2 linked regions of the Drosophila melanogaster genome follow. The protein of the gene in region 1 interacts with the protein of each later gene in a pairwise test. Each region holds a gene or a part of one and is shown on either strand. Other genes may lie near its edges.

Region 1 (7,090 bases):
AGGCCATACTGACGCTGACCTTCACCAACCAATCGTTCCCATCGCAGCAGCCCCAGCCCCAGCAACAGGGTCCGCAGCAGCAGCAGCAGCTTTTCTCGCCGGTGCTGATCCACGAGCAACGTCAACAGCCACCACAGCAGCAGCCGCAACCAATGCTGATTATGCCGCGTCTGCCAACCCAACAACCGCAGCAGCCTGCTCCTCAGGGCATTGGCATGCAGGCGGGCGATGTGACCTCAGGGTTCTCATACGAAAATGCTGTTGTTTCCTATGAACAGCAGATCCAGCAGCAGCTGAAACAGCAGCAACAACAACAGCAGCAGCAGCAGCAAAATCTACAGCAGCTGGATGAGCCGTCATCTGTGAACAGCTCCTCGAGTGTCGGTGCTGGTGGAGATGTCGAGAACAATGAATGGCATGCCCGTAATAATGATACAAATGCTGCCGCCACAGCAGCACTGACGAATGTGCTCAAAGGCGAGACCACCCAGGCCACGCCACCGGCACCGCCAACCAAGTGGAGCTCGGAGATGAATGCCATGAGTAGCGCCGCCTCCAATGGCAGCAGCAACACCAGCCACAAGCAGGAGTGGGCCACGCCCAGGGACCACAGCACTGGCGGAGGCAATAGCGGTTATGCCGATAACAACGAGAGTAACAACCATTGGAACAACTCGCAAGGAGACGGACGCCGCAACTCTGGCAATTATCAGCGTCGTGGCGGAGACAGGGATAACCGGGATCGCGATCAGGGAGGGCGAGGTGACGAGCGGCGCAACGGCGGCGACAGGGGCAACTACCGGTCGCGTCAATACGGCAACTCATCTAACACGAACGGACGCAATTCGGGCAATTCGAGCGGTGTGTACTTCCGCAACAATGAGTCGGGCAATGGTGGAGGCAACAACTACTACCAGAACGGAGGAGGTGGCGGTGGCACCTACAACAAGGAGTCGCGCTACGAATCCTCCGGCGGCGGCGGTGGAAGCTATCGAGGCCAGCGCGGTGGCAACCAGCAGCGTAATGTAAATGGCTCGTATGGCGGCGGCAGGCCCATGGGCGATCGTGGTCGTGGCGGAGCGGGCAACCAGGGAGGTGGTGGTGGTGGCTACATAAACCGTCAGAACCAGTCGCAACGCATGCCACTCGGGCTGGAGAACAAAAACTGAGCATACAATACGTATTAACCCCGCAAACAAAACACACATACAATTCATGCAAACCATAAACACAACCTCCATACAGAAAACAAGGAAACCAATCATCAACATGCAAGTAATGGCCACGTAGACGTACAATTATTGTTACGCAAACCACTCTCAACCATAAGAAATGGAAATCTATCAAAAAGAATCCTTTATAACGCAACTAGGGAATCGAAAATGAAGCCGACACACAAATCAATTCGTGCGCATTTTTCAATACGATTTATACCTATTTCCCTTGATTTTGGTTTATTCGATAATGTATTAATAATAAAACAAAATAGTTGTTAGAAACACGAAAGAATTACAACTAAATACAGGAAAGTAAGCGCTCCAAGGGTTTCTAAAACTCCCAGACAGGATAGGACAGGACACAACACTACTTCGTCCAAGGAAAACAAACGACAGATGGGCAAAACTTGTATGTAACTTGGATCTGCCATTTCTTGCTTGATTTTACTTTTTGTCTGTTTGGCTGCGTTGAAGCTGATTGATGATTACAGATGTCGAGAGAAAGAATATAAAAAGTATTTATACGTCTTAGCAATTAAATAACGATTCTGAATTATAAAAATTAATTACTATTACCTATATATATAAACGAAGGGATAAATATATTTATAGTTTGTGCTCTTACTGTCATGCTCTATCCCATTTCAACACCTTTTTTTGTTCTGCCAAACTTTTACACACAAACGATGAAAACAAAAATACAAAACCACGTAAAACATAATAGTTGTAATTATTGCCGCGTGAATGAAGAAGCGTGCACACTAACAGTGCATTATAAATGAAATGAAAACTATGTATTTGCAAAACAGTACATACATTAAACAAAAGTATATAAACCATTCGTTTTTTTGGACTAATTGGGGTTCCCAACATTTTTATATTTTAAAGTTACAAATGGAAAATTAAGTTTCTTTAACTATTTTTATCCCTGCTTCAGAAAGTTATATGGCAAATGAAAAATGTGTATAAAAGAAGCTAATCTTAAGCAAATCCCATTCCTACTATTCCATTTTGTCCTGCTTTTCGGACTCGACTGTTCCTCCGTCGCAAAGAAACCAAAGACCAGCCAGAATGAGAGTTATTCCGATGCCAGATAGTACTGTCAGTGGCTCCCGATAAACAAGCGCACCTAGGACAAACTATATAACGAACAGTAATCATAATTGAACAAATAGATCGGTGGATCACCTACCGATAAGACATAATTCGAAGCGGCAGTTAAAACGACGCACGTTAAAGTTTGTTCAGTCATTTGCAGGGCCTTCAAAAAGAAACGCAAGTTGCAAACGTTGCATGTTACCATTAACACTAGTGGCAGCAGCTGAAGTAATGCTATTTCTAATAAATAAAATAAAATTTTATAAATTTATAAACATTTTGCTTGTTTGAAGAAATCACAATCTTGCCTAAATAAGAAAAGTCTTCATTTATTTGCGAAGTATTCAGTAGTTTTTGGGCGCTCAGGTGGCTGGGAAGTTTTCCGAAAAAGCTTCCTGCAGCTGCGAAGGAGCCAGCCACCAAACTGTATCGATATTTTGCGAGTGATTCCATTAGGTTAGATCTTTAAACTTATAAGTTTAAACCAATAAAAATGTAAACAAAAGTCGAACGAGGCAACAGCTGATGCGCAAAGCTGCCAACTTACTTCCATATGACAAGCTTGCGGTTCATTAAAATCCCGCCAGGTGGAGCACCTTGGCGCGAGATTTAAAAGAGTAGATATTTACTTCAACTTCATTCTTCATAAGAAATATAAGCACAGGAATATAAAAAACTAACTGGCGCAAAATCAAATCAAATTTGTGTGTAATTTTTTCGTATTTCATTTGTTTATTTTACAAAACGTTCAGCTAATGCCTTGACATTCATCGAAAAAGTCTCATTTGCTAATTGCGCGTTGTTTTTGCATCTTTTGGAATTGTGTAGGTTTATATACAAAGACCGCTGCTACATAAATAATACATATATTCTTGTACCTCTCAACAAAACTCAACTTACATAACGCAGAGCAAAGTAGTTGCATTAAAAAATAAATCTCTATGCCGCCTGGCATTATTAACATTCCTTCAATTCAAACATTTAGACACTTATATGTGGAAATTGCTTGAGTGCTATGCATTTCGTCTCATTGCTTTGCTTTACTTTGCTGTCACGGTTTAACTACAATTTTGCTATCGTACTATATATTTAGTTAAATATTTACTTGTTGCATAATACTTCGCCTGTTTCGGTTGTAACACTCACACACGGAAACACAGATATTCCTAATGCACTCCAAGCAAATCTATTAAGTTAGGTTCTTACTTAGCATTGCTATATAAATATTTTTTGATGTTTTTTCATTTTGATTTAGTTAGTTGTTATATATCGCCTAAGGTAAACTGCTCACAATTATTTTATACGTAATTCTTTTAATATTCTTTAAAATGTATACATATGGTTGTATATTTGTATAAATTTGTTTCGTATAATTGGTTGTGTGTGTCTTTAGTGTGTTGTTGTGTCTGCTAGGAAAATGCAACGACTTTCAGCCGTTATCTAGGAGCTCACAGAATCGAACCCCGTTCTCAAAACCAACATGCATTTGTGTAATCAACATTCAACAATTCACTCACTGAATACGGCTAATCTAATAAAAAGACACTTTTTTCTTGCCATTTAACAAATGGCCTATCCCTCTGACAATTCTGGCTGCTCTAATACCCTGTGACTCTAGTAGTTCGCTAAGTTTCTACATCAGGACGCAACACCTGCGACTGGAACTGGTGCTATCGGTGACCACGTCGCCAGTGATGCCGCTGAACTTGTTCAGCGAACTGCCCGCCGGCGAGGAGCCCTCGAAGTCGGATAGCACGCTTCCCGCGCCCATGTGACCCAATGTTGGCTGCGTCGAGATCGGTGCGGATCCGTTGTTGTTGTTGTTGCTGGTGCTCAGGTTGTTGTTGTTGTTGCTGCTGCTGCCGCCGGCTCCTAAAACAGAACCATTAGTTGTTGTGGCATTAGCTGCTGCAATTGGATGGGCATTGCTAGCTGTTTGGGATGACAATTCGAAAGTATTGAGGACATTGGCGGTGCGTGAAAGCGAGCGTTGCTTCTTCAAATTGGCCAATGTGGCGCTGTAGCCATCCAAGGCAACATGCTGCTGCTGCTGCTGCTGTTGCTGTTGCTGCTGATGTTGCTGAAGCTGCTGGTGTTGCTGCAACAGCAGTACGTGTTGCTGGTGGTGGTGTTGCTGCTGCTGCTGCTGCTGCTGTTGATGTTGCTGATGGTGGTGCGTGCTATTGGTGTCTGGATGTTGGAAGTTTTTGGCAAGGCGTTGGGTGTGTTTGGTGTTTAGTGGTGCGGTGGTTGTTGTTTTTATTGTTGATGATGATGCGGGCAGGCAGACGACACAGAACGGGCGAAACGAGGCACAACAACGACAACAAAAAAGAATGAAACGGAAACAAGCAAATGTTATTTTACTTTTCTTCTCTTCTTTTCCCGAGAACTAAGTTAGCAGATACCCATTGACCAATTGGGAGTGATCGGGTAGATGGGATGGAGGTTACATGCGAGTCAAATGCTAATGCTTATTGCAGCCATGCTCCCCTGTTTTCTAAGTACGATTTCTAGTATCAGAAAACCCATTTAGTGTAGTAAGCTATTAAAATGGCAATAATTTACATAAATAGTAATATATGCTTACGCTATTCCACTTTAGGCATTTAAATAAAGAAGTCATTTACAAAGCATATTTACAACATAATGAAATAAAAAGTATCTTACTACAACAATGACTGTCATTTCCATAAAATATATCTCAACTAAGCTATGCATCTCACGAAGCTATCCTATTAAAAATCTCAAACCAAGATATCGATTATCATTTCCTACAGGGCATTCGTCATTCTATAGTCTACTCATGCTGTTAGCTCTGCTTGCTTGTTGGAAGTATTTTCATTTCCATTTTAGTAGAGTCGTTAAATAAACATTAAACATTGACATTGACACGGGGACAGAATGGCGCTTAAGCAGAACTCTTGTGATACGTTGACGCTCCTTGGGAGCCAAACAGGATGGTTGGAGGTGGCGTCTGGATGGGGTGCTTGAGTAAATGGTTGGCTTTGGTTGAAAGGAGAAAGCGGAAGCAAGCCTGACACGTGGCCAAGGGCGCTTGACTCACCCACGAGGACGGTGACCTGGACATTGATCTTGCCGTTGGCAGCCTCCTTCGACGACTGGATTTGAACGGCCTCGGCACTGGCCGCCGTACCCTTCTCGGTGAGAATGACGGCCGCCGCCGAGGTGGCTCGCTGCATCTCTCCCGCAGCACCTGCAGCTTTCAGGCGTAGCAGTTCATCGTTTTCCCGGCCATCCGGTGGACGGCGCGACGGATAGGAATGTGTGGCGTTGGCCGACAAAGCGGCGGTGGCATTATCCAGCGCATCGGCGGACTTGGAGTGCGGCAGTGGTTGGCCATTCGAACTGCCCGTCGAGGGTCGCTTCTCTCCGTTGTTGTTTCCGTAACCATAGCCATTGGTCAGCGGATCCCCTGCCGATGAGGGAGCCTCCGAGTCCGTCGCCTCCTGCGCCTGCAGACGCAGCCGGGTCTCCTCGACGGCATCCTTTTTGGTTGTCAGCGTTTTGTCTCGCAAACTAGTGCGTCGCACTGATTGGGCTCTGTGGAAAGCATAGTTAGTTTTAATGGTTATGTTTAATGGCTCATAAATGTTATGTAAATGCCTTGTGTTGTTGCTCTGTGAGCGTCGAACGCGTCGTCGCTGCGCCTCGGCCAGTCGTTTGCTCTCCTGCTCCGTCTTCAGCTGTTCGATTCGCTCCCTGATTTCGGGATCTTCACAGATGTCTACAAAGGCGGATGGATTGATTTGTTAATATCCAGTTAAAACGTTTAAGTGTATTCTTATGTTTATGGCAACTAACATCTAAATGAACGTATGTACTATATGTGTTTATTTGAAATACTGAGCTAGGAGGAACTTTACGGAAATGGGTAACACTTTTTCGAGTTAGCCATTATAAATCGTTGATCCTGCCAAGCTAAAAAATTAATGCAATCTTTCTTCACACCTGAGAGCGCTTTCCTCCTACTCCTACTACAAATAGTCTAGATTTACACATTTTCCGTGTCGCATTAACAACAATTTATAGCTCAATTTCATATTCATGGTTATTTTGCTCTAGCCGGATAACCGTTGATTCAGTGCCGCAACCTTTTCGCATATTCTCACCTGAAGGAGTCTCGTCGTCCTTGTTGCGAACATTCAGATCAGCACCACACTGGGCCAGCATCTCCAGCACCTCAAGCTGAAAGAAGGAAATATTTAAAATTATTATTCCCATTTTTCGGCTTCGAGGCTTCACTTACATGACCCCAACAAGCGGCGGCATGCACCGGTGTCCACAGATCCTTGTCCATGGCATCCACGTTGACATGCTGCTCCAACAAAAACTCCACAACGCGGACGTATCCATTCGCAGCAGCTATGTGAAGCTGAACAATTGAGATAAGTTAAATGTTGCACACAGGGAATAAGTGAGGATTTAATGAATTGTGGATTCTTTTTTGTGTAGGAATTATTCTTTGAATTAAGTTTTATTTGCTTCTTTCTGGGATCAAAATTCCTACGTTTTGTTCCTCAAAGAAGACGCCACTTACCGGCGTTGCACACTGGTAGTCCGGCTCCTCCAAATCTCCTCCTGTGCGCGCCAACTCCATTAGGTCGCGCAGCATAATCCGCTCCGTGGAGGAGCGCGTCTCGTCGATGAGCTCCTGGGTCACGCCCCGTTGAGCCATCTCGCCCTCGATGAAGTCCAAGGTTTTCTCATCGTCGCACAGGTCGTAGGGCATGTTGCCGTCGGTGTTGACGGCC
Region 2 (8,584 bases), on another chromosome or scaffold:
AGCCTTTTACGGTTTTAAAAGGCAGTCACCCCACACAGATCGTTTCGATCTGCCTCTTAAGTATTTAGGTTAAGGAATCGTCATCAGCTAGCCCTAGTTATAAGCCAACCAACGAGCACACTTATAAATCTATCTATATTGTATACACTTAACCATAATTTGTTTTCGAAATGCATAAATGCAAAAACTCCTGAAGTGCTGTGAGTCTATCTACAAATGTAAAGATCCGAGAGCGAGAGAAGTGTGTTATTTTTAAGGCCTAGCCCCGAAAATGAACCTCCAAACCGAACCAGAACACACCCGCACACTAAGTATATTGGTTTTCTATGTCCAAATCCAAGTTTTGCCCTTTGAAAATCACGTAGTTCTTCCTTATTTCAAATTGTTATCACACCAAGTTTTGAAGCGCAACTATTAACGGTGAATGAGAAATGACTTGCGCCCCTAGTTTTGTTTTAATTCTTTAAACAACGAGACCACGAGACTCATTTAATTGTTTCTTTTAATTTTGTATTTGACAGAAGAGAAACGAAATGATGAAAAAAAACGCTAACTGTAAATAATCAATATGTTGTCATATATGCATTAAGCGGTAGGTTAGATAAACAAACTACACAAAGTTGATAGATATAAATGAAATATTGTACAAACTGCTATGGCAAGCGCTGCAGCAAAATCTATATATACACATAGATATATATCTATATATTTGAATGTGTGTATGTGGTTAAACAACAAGAAAATGAAGTGATCTATTACATTATTGTAAAATATATCAAAAAACTGAGAAAAAAAAAAAACAAAACACAAACAAACATAAAATCTTATACAAAAAAATGACAAAAAATAAAGAAATCAATGTGAATATACAATGTTTTTTTTTATTGATTAATCACGTCAAAAGCGGGTTTGGAAGAATAGATATTCCTGAAAAACGAATACAAAACATTATTGTGGCAAATGATATATGTATATAAACTAGGAGCACAGTACCAGTAGAAAGGCTGATCCCAGTATCAAAGCCCGCTCCTTGGCGGTTAGCTTGGCGTCACTAAAGTATATATTTGTGGTGTACTGAGACTTGCTGGCGAGCCATTTGTGGTCTATGGAAGCCCTCATATTGCCTCCCGAATGGATCTGTAAGGGAACAAAAACACTATAATTGAATATTCTGTTCCGAATGTTAAAGCTACTACCAACCTTAAAATAACAATCTTTGGGCAAACTGAAGCAGCAGAATCCTAAACCGACAGGACCCTCTACACAGAATGTTAGTTGTCCTGTGCTTTCGTCTTCGATAAAGAACTCCGGCTGCATGAAGGTGGGCGACTGCACCACTTTACCCAGCAAATTACCAGGTGGTATCCAAATTTCTAGACTTTTTGCCTGGCAGCACATGGATCCCATCGCTAGTTTTTTGCGAAAAACCAGAGCTTCCTGGTGCGTTTTATCCAGCAGGTGCATCTGAAAGGGTCGACCAGCTCCCCAAAGTAGTCGATTTTTTTCTGTGGAACTCTCGTTGGCCGCGAAAATGGCATCACCCAGTGGAGATCGCACCACATATCGATTCTCCGAGGAGACGCCTGTTAGGGCTGCAAAGGGAAGACGAACTATTAGAAGCGATTTTAGCTAATTTTTGGGCTTGTACTTACCATCGTTAAGCTCAAAGGTCTGTTCAATATGTACGGACGGCAGATCTGCTAGGCAATCGTATCCGGAAAGTGGGATAAGCGTCCGGCTTCCCGTAACCGTGGCAATTGGCACTGGCAGCGGGATGCGTGGAGCCTCCGGCCTGGGTTGTGAGGTAATGCTGATATGGGAGTCATAAACTGAAGAAAAACAAACAAATCGTATATAGACCATTTTCCAATACGAGCAGAATCGTAAGGTTGTCCATATTGTTATCTTTGAACTAAGATTTTATAAACCTTTTCCATATCTTTAGGGTATTACAAACTTTTCCATAGATTGAATTTTGAAAGTTTTTAATATTTTAATTAAATTTAAATTTCATTTAAAGTTGTAGTTTTAAGATCATAATTTTACAGTGAATTTGAATTAAATAAAAATGGTTGTTGAACATTCTGCTAATAATAGCTCTGAGTAATAGCAATATTATTGAAAATATTTTGTGGTTATAACAAATCGTTTAGATTAAAACTTTAGTAGTTTTTCGATTTTTTCATAATCTTGTCACATAAATATTTTATTACTTTTCTTGGAATAGGAAAATGTTGGTATAGGATACAGCTAATATCATGGGTACGGTTTTACTATCGGATTGATCGCTGGGTTCGATCGTCCCAAACAAAGGCACTTGAGGAGTCGCAGACCATAACAAAACGCTGGCCGATAAGATATAGCCAACTTGTGGCCGCATTTTTGCGTCGAACTGTGTGACACACTCGCTCGCAACAATAATTAATCCGGTGCACTGCTTATCAGTTGGTAACAATTCGGTTACCCTTTTGCCAGGGTGATTCACTCGCTGTTTTTATTCGTTTTCTAAAGCCATATGCCCTAAATTACCTCTCGGTTCTGAGAGACTTGGCTGCTGGGCCACACGGATCTCACTGTCGTATTGCAAAGTGCGCACCGCGTTGTTTTGCAACATTTCGCCAGCACTTTTCAAACTTATTTGACGGCGGTCTAAATGAAATTGATAACGGTGGTCAGTGGGGCAGTAGCACAACGGAAGTTAAGTGCTTTGTGCCCCTCGCCTGGTCACACTTCCTGACTCAGATGATTTTAATACTCTATTACGAACGTTCTCATGTGAAATAGTAATAATAGCTTATTTATAGTGCTATTTTGTAAACTTTAATTCATGCGAATGTTGCAGGTTTTCAAAATATTCGTTTATGCTGCTCAAGCTGAATGTGGATAAATATATATTCAAATCCAGAGCTGCCACCTGATTCAAACTGTTTAGTAACGTATTTTCTGCACTTGCGATATATACTAAATTATCGCGGGATAAACGTGCTATCGCACTTGGGTCATACTAAGCCTTACGGTTTATTTTGCTAGCAGCAAAACAGAAATAAAACCTTTACTTAAATTTATTTATCAGAATTTGTCTCGTGTGAACTTGAAATTAAAGTCCGTCACCGTGTTCTCGGACCGAAGTTTGCTAAATGACGTGGAGACGAGCAGCAGGTGAGCGAGCGATGAAAATTGCAACAGTGCTGGCCATTTGGCCGACGATTTGTTGTTGTGGAATTTTTTGGCCAAAATTCGGGTTGTTTTCAAATCGGTTAGTCAAGGGGTTGGTAATCAAGGAACCAAAGTGCGCAGCCGCTGGAGCGGGAGCGGCGTAAACAAATGCCAGTGGGGTAGTGGTTCTCGGTGGGGGCTTAATCTCTGGAGCGCAAATAGCGACAGTGTTCTCTGGGCCATCGGTGGAACCAGCTAAGTCGGCGGAATCCACAAGAAATCGAGCGATAAGCGGCGGAGCGGGTCCAAGTGCAATAATCAATAAACGTGCTGTTCAAACATCGCTGCTAGGCGAAAGATAAAACCCAGTCGATTGTGAAATTCCTGCTATATAGAACGGATTGAAAGCAAAAATTTGCTCCCCATTTGCTTGCCTTTTGATGTAACTCCCACGAAGTGCTTTTGCTATTGCCAACTTGCAATTTGCCCCCTTGTACCTTTGGGGGGTGGTTTTCGCCCGGAAAAATCCATGAAAAGAACCGTCAAGTGCGCCACGCTGGTGAAAAACTGCTAGGAGTGTTAGTTTTCGTTTTGTGGCAAGAAGAGAACGCGGCATGTCTCTGGAGGATCCGTTTTTCGTGGTCAAGGAGTAGGTGTCCCCGATTTGGCAGATGGCCACATGCACTGCTGGTGGAAAGTGCTATCTTACTTATATCTCTGTTTTTTCTTTCATTTCCCTCCCCTTCCCCAACAGCGAGGTATTCAAAGCTCTGAACAAAACCCGCGGCCTCTATCTGCGTTGGCGGGAGCTGGGCGAGAACGGCGGAACGGAGGCTGAATGGACCACCACCGAGCTGCGTAACTCGCTACGGAGCATCGAGTGGGATCTCGAGGACCTCGAGGACACTATCAATATCCTTTTGCAAAGACCATTGAAAAATCAATTCGTTACCTGGTACTCATTTATCGAATTGCATTGTCTGTTTTATTTTCGCATAAAGAGGTTGAGATCCCATTTAAAATTGCTGAATATGCAATTTATTCGTGATTTAATTCGCTCGTTTATTAGTATTATACTAATAAACTGTACAGAACTTGTTTTTTTGGCACTATAATTGTAAAAAAAGAGTACTTGGTATCTTAAGGTCGGTAGAACCGACTTTCTAGCTCATCAGTCTCCTCGGTTTTCTCCTTAACCCATACCATTTTGACTCACACGCATCGTTGAGAAGAATCCAAGCAAGTTTCGGATCGACAACCGCGAACTCTCCAGCCGGCGCCACTTCATCGACAACACTCGCGATGAGGTCAAGCAGATGAAGGATAAGATGAGCCTGAACCGGAGCCGGGACAGAGACATCACCGCACACCAGCCGCTGCTCGACAACGATCGCCACAGCCCCAATCACAATCATTCCATTGCCATACCCAATTCGAATTCCAACTCCAACGAGTACCATCAGCATCCACACAACGATCGCACGTACCTCGTGGAGTGTCCCAACGGCAACTCGCTGATCAATAGCGGCAGTCAGGTGGCCAATACCATAGCTGGGACCATGTCGGCGGCAGCGGCAGCAGCATCCCGCCACAGCGGCACCAAGTACTCCAAGCTGGAGAACGCCCTGGACAGTCCCAGTCACTATGGGCAGACGCATCACGGCGGCATGGACAGTCCGAGTCATAGGTACGTGGGCGAAACAGTGTCCATACAGCAGCGTATGATCCAGGGACAGGATGAGCAGCTAGACATGATCAGCGATTCGATTGGTACCCTCAAGACGGTCTCGCGGCAAATTGGCGTTGAGCTCGATGAGCAGGCCGTCATGCTAGACGACTTTGGGAACGAGTTCGATACCACGGAGTCCAAGTTGGATACGACCATGAAGAAAGTTGCCAAAGTCTTGCACATGAATAATGGTGAGTGGTGCGGCACTTGTGGTATTCAAGGACTATTTTGATTGAAATATTAATGAAGAGTAAATGCTTCAGTGAACCACAATCAAAATTACCCATTGAATACTTTTGTGACTTCTGATTCCTAATTCTTAACTGTATCCATCTTCTTTCACAGATAAACGACAGTGGGCCGCCATTCTCATCCTATCCGGACTGTTATTGTTTGTGATAATTTTGTTTATTATTTTGTAATTGCTTTCGTTGTTCCCAAATCGTTTATATTTAGTGTAAATTAGATTTATTTATGACTTAGCTTGCTTTTGAATTCGGGCTCTTAATTACAATTCCATGTAAACTCCCTTGCTGTATATACACGGAAACATTTTAACCTGATTTATTACCAGCCGCCTCTCTCTATATATATATAATGTAATTCCAAAGCTACGGACAAATGATCATGTAAAGTCAATGTAGGCGGGTAATAAAAGATAACTAACTACTTACATATAAACCAAGTGCTCCAGAGTTCTGTCATTCCCAATTTGGCCAAAGGATACTGCAACTGTAAGCTGTATATACATCGAAGGATATATCTGCATATATATACATACAAACAAAATGGACCTACCAATATCAAACGAGTTATTTAACGAAGAGTCTTAGGAAATTTCACTAACCAAATCTAGCAAAAACTTGTATGCAATTGAGTAAATATATATACTTATAAATTAAATTCCTAATTTAAAGCCAAATGAGGTACTTCTTACGGGTCACCTAGAAATACTGTATGAGTGCACAGAGAGAAATTGTATACATATACAAAAATTTGTTCGCTATTTTGAAAGCCTAAATTAAACAAAAATTGGAAATACAAGCTTTCAAATTTTTTAATGTTTTTAAGGATAGTAGGATTAGTCAAGATGTTATCTTCTGATAGATCAATGATTTGGAAAATGGTATTTAATACCAAATTTTTCTCTGTGCACAAGGAGAGGGTATCAGGCCCCTTCTCATGTTCTCTCTGCGCCCCAAAACCACTCGACAGCCCACTCGATTTGCCCACTCACTCAGCTGTGTTGCATGCTTTTGCCCGGAGCTTTTTGGCGAGCTTACAGTCTGCGCACAGTGGCGCAACCAAAGGGGTATCTTCGAAAGGCTTGAAACATAACCCCTACGGGGAATCCGGACTACGCCACTGGGTCACAGCATAAGCACACGGGCAGAGCGGCACGTTTCCATGTGATGTTTTTCGGGTTTCGGCATTCAGTGTTGTTTGCCTTTTCCGCGGAGCTGGAGTTTTCCCAGCAGTTGGCATATAGTATATATATATATCTCCTGATATTCCGGTAGAAATGTTCAATTGTTGAATTACTTCGGCTAAGCGGCATTCAAAGTTATTTTGGTGAGTGACAGTGCGCAGTGAAGTGAACATACCCACCCATTATCACCCCCAAATATGCAGTAACCCAAAATTCGACTTCCTCTCGGATGTTTGTGGTTGGTTTTCCTATTGTGTGCAGTTTTTGTTGCCGCTGAAAACCTTGAGCATTTTGTTGGCCAAAAATATATAAAATCAATGTCAAACGGCGGAAGATGGGATACCGCTTCCATTTCTTTCCCCCCCCCCCCCCACTTACTGCTCTTCGTGGAAACACTCAGATTTCAGTTGACCGCCAGGTAAAACCAGCTGGTCCGGTTGGCTAGATACTCCTTCTGGGATTTTTCCTCCGCTTTCCCTTTGCTGCCGTGGCTATTAATAAATGCATGTGGCCAGAAGAAGCGAGTGAACATATTTCAGACTACATGTGTTCTTGGTGGCCGTGTGTTTTCCTTTGGACGCCAGTGTGTTGCTCGTGGTTTTCATTGCTGGGTGGGGGGAGCTTTTTCGAAACTCTTATCAAAAGTCGGATTCGCGGGCAGGGATTCGTTCGTTATCGAAACAGATGAGCGAACATGCCGTTACTTTTTAATCAAAAGACGTGTGTAGTTTATGTTGTACGGAAAGTGGACGGTAATAAAACTCAAGTGTCTGGAATTGCAATGCACCATTGCCATAAGCAAATTTCCAATGCACAGTAAGCAAAAATGGCAAAAAAAAACACAAAATTAATTCTGTTGGTGAAAATATCATGTTATATATCAGCAAATTACCCGCACAGACTGTTGTTTATGTATATTATACGATAAGTTTATTGCGAAATCAATTTACAATGCTATTTTTGAAAGTGAAAGGGAAATTGAAAAGCCATATCTGTGAAAGCAAAATGGGAATTTTGAAAAGCAAATTTCCTACAACCATAAGAATTTTTAAAAGGGCTTGTTTTATTCACTTTAACATTTGCAATGGATAGTAAAGCTAACGTATTCACGTTCTGAGATTTTAGGCATGACTGCGAATAAGTGATATTGTATTACAATTTACACAGTTTTAACGCCAAGCATTTGTAAGCTTACTGTTGCATAAAATTGAAAAAAAAATTTACAAATTTTTGAATAGCTTGCAATTTTGAAAAATGCATCCAAATATAATTTTCTAAATATTGTGTGATTAAAGGAAACCATAATGCTTACTGTTGCGTAAAATTAAAAACCAATTTTACAAATTTCTGAATAGATTGCTATTTCGAAAAATTCATCCAAATATAATTTTCTAAATATTGTGTGTTTAAAGGAAACCATAATTAAATAATGCTTACTGTTGCATAAAATTGAAAAACAATTTTACAAATTTTTAAATAGTTTGCAAGTTTGAAAAAATCATCCAAATATAATTTTCTAAATATTGTGGGTTGAAAAGGGAACCATACTTAATGTGCTTTTAAGTATACCAGATTTTTTTCAAGTGTACGCACAATTGCCCACAACCCACTTACTCACACTCTAGCACATTCGAACTTATGGTGTTTATTATTTAATTTGCTTTTCTCCTGTTGCTCTGCTACCCCTTTATTTCCAAACCAGATATTCAGTTACCCGGAATGAGTGGCGCACAGCGGAATCAGGATCGCAAGATCGTTGTCATCGGAGCAGGAGCCTCGGGTGTGGCCTGTGCCACCAAACTGCTGGAATTGGGCTTTCAGAATGTGCTCGTCGTGGAGGCGGAGGATCGTCTAGGTGGCCGCATACACACTATACCCTTTGCGGACAACGTCATTGATCTGGGTGCCCAATGGTGTCATGGGGAACGGGACAACATTGTGTACGAACTGACACGGAAACAGGATGAGGAGCTGCTGGAGTCGACGGGTCCGGTCTACGAAAACTATGAGTGCGTCCGCTCCAACGGAGATGTGGTACCGGAAGAGGTATCTAGTCGCCTGAAAGCCATCGTCGGGGATTCACTGGTCACCCGGCAACTGGAGCTGCGTCACTGCAGCGGTTCCTTGGGCAGCTATCTGACCAACAAGTTTTACGACACTCTCCGGCGTCCGGAAAACTCCGATATAGACGCAGAGGTGGCCAGTGAGTTCTTTGTCAACTATCAGAAATTCGAGAACTCCGTCGAGGCCTCGGATACGCTAGAACAAGT

What was found. Proteins that work in one complex are often made in the same cells at the same time.
Region 2: the proteins of CG42495 (region 1) and Syx6 interact in a two-hybrid assay, tested with the Drosophila melanogaster proteins (one large-scale study listed by BioGRID).

The regions. Positions count from the first base shown.
Region 1 is NT_037436.4:18,663,113-18,670,202, reverse strand, and holds CG42495 (uncharacterized protein), read right to left. Parts: upstream 2,843-7,090; 5' UTR 2,769-2,842; coding exon 2,624-2,768; intron 2,556-2,623; coding exon 2,410-2,555; intron 2,357-2,409; coding exon 2,219-2,356; 3' UTR 2,068-2,218; downstream 1-2,067. Other genes in the region: Capr (caprin), read left to right, coding at 1-1,169; MYPT-75D (myosin phosphatase targeting subunit 75D), read right to left, coding at 3,949-4,505, 5,383-5,879, 5,943-6,063, 6,449-6,524, 6,586-6,711, 6,877-7,090.
Region 2 is NT_033778.4:11,216,554-11,225,137, forward strand, and holds Syx6 (syntaxin 6), read left to right. Parts: upstream 1-3,380; 5' UTR 3,381-3,770; coding exon of another isoform or gene 3,771-3,805; 5' UTR 3,806-3,827; coding exon 3,828-4,068; intron 4,069-4,374; coding exon 4,375-5,076; intron 5,077-5,230; coding exon 5,231-5,307; 3' UTR 5,308-5,785; downstream 5,786-8,584. Other genes in the region: CG9084 (uncharacterized protein), read right to left, coding at 898-927, 994-1,137, 1,201-1,610, 1,653-1,829, 2,530-2,614; CG7737 (uncharacterized protein), read left to right, coding at 7,046-7,130, 8,017-8,584.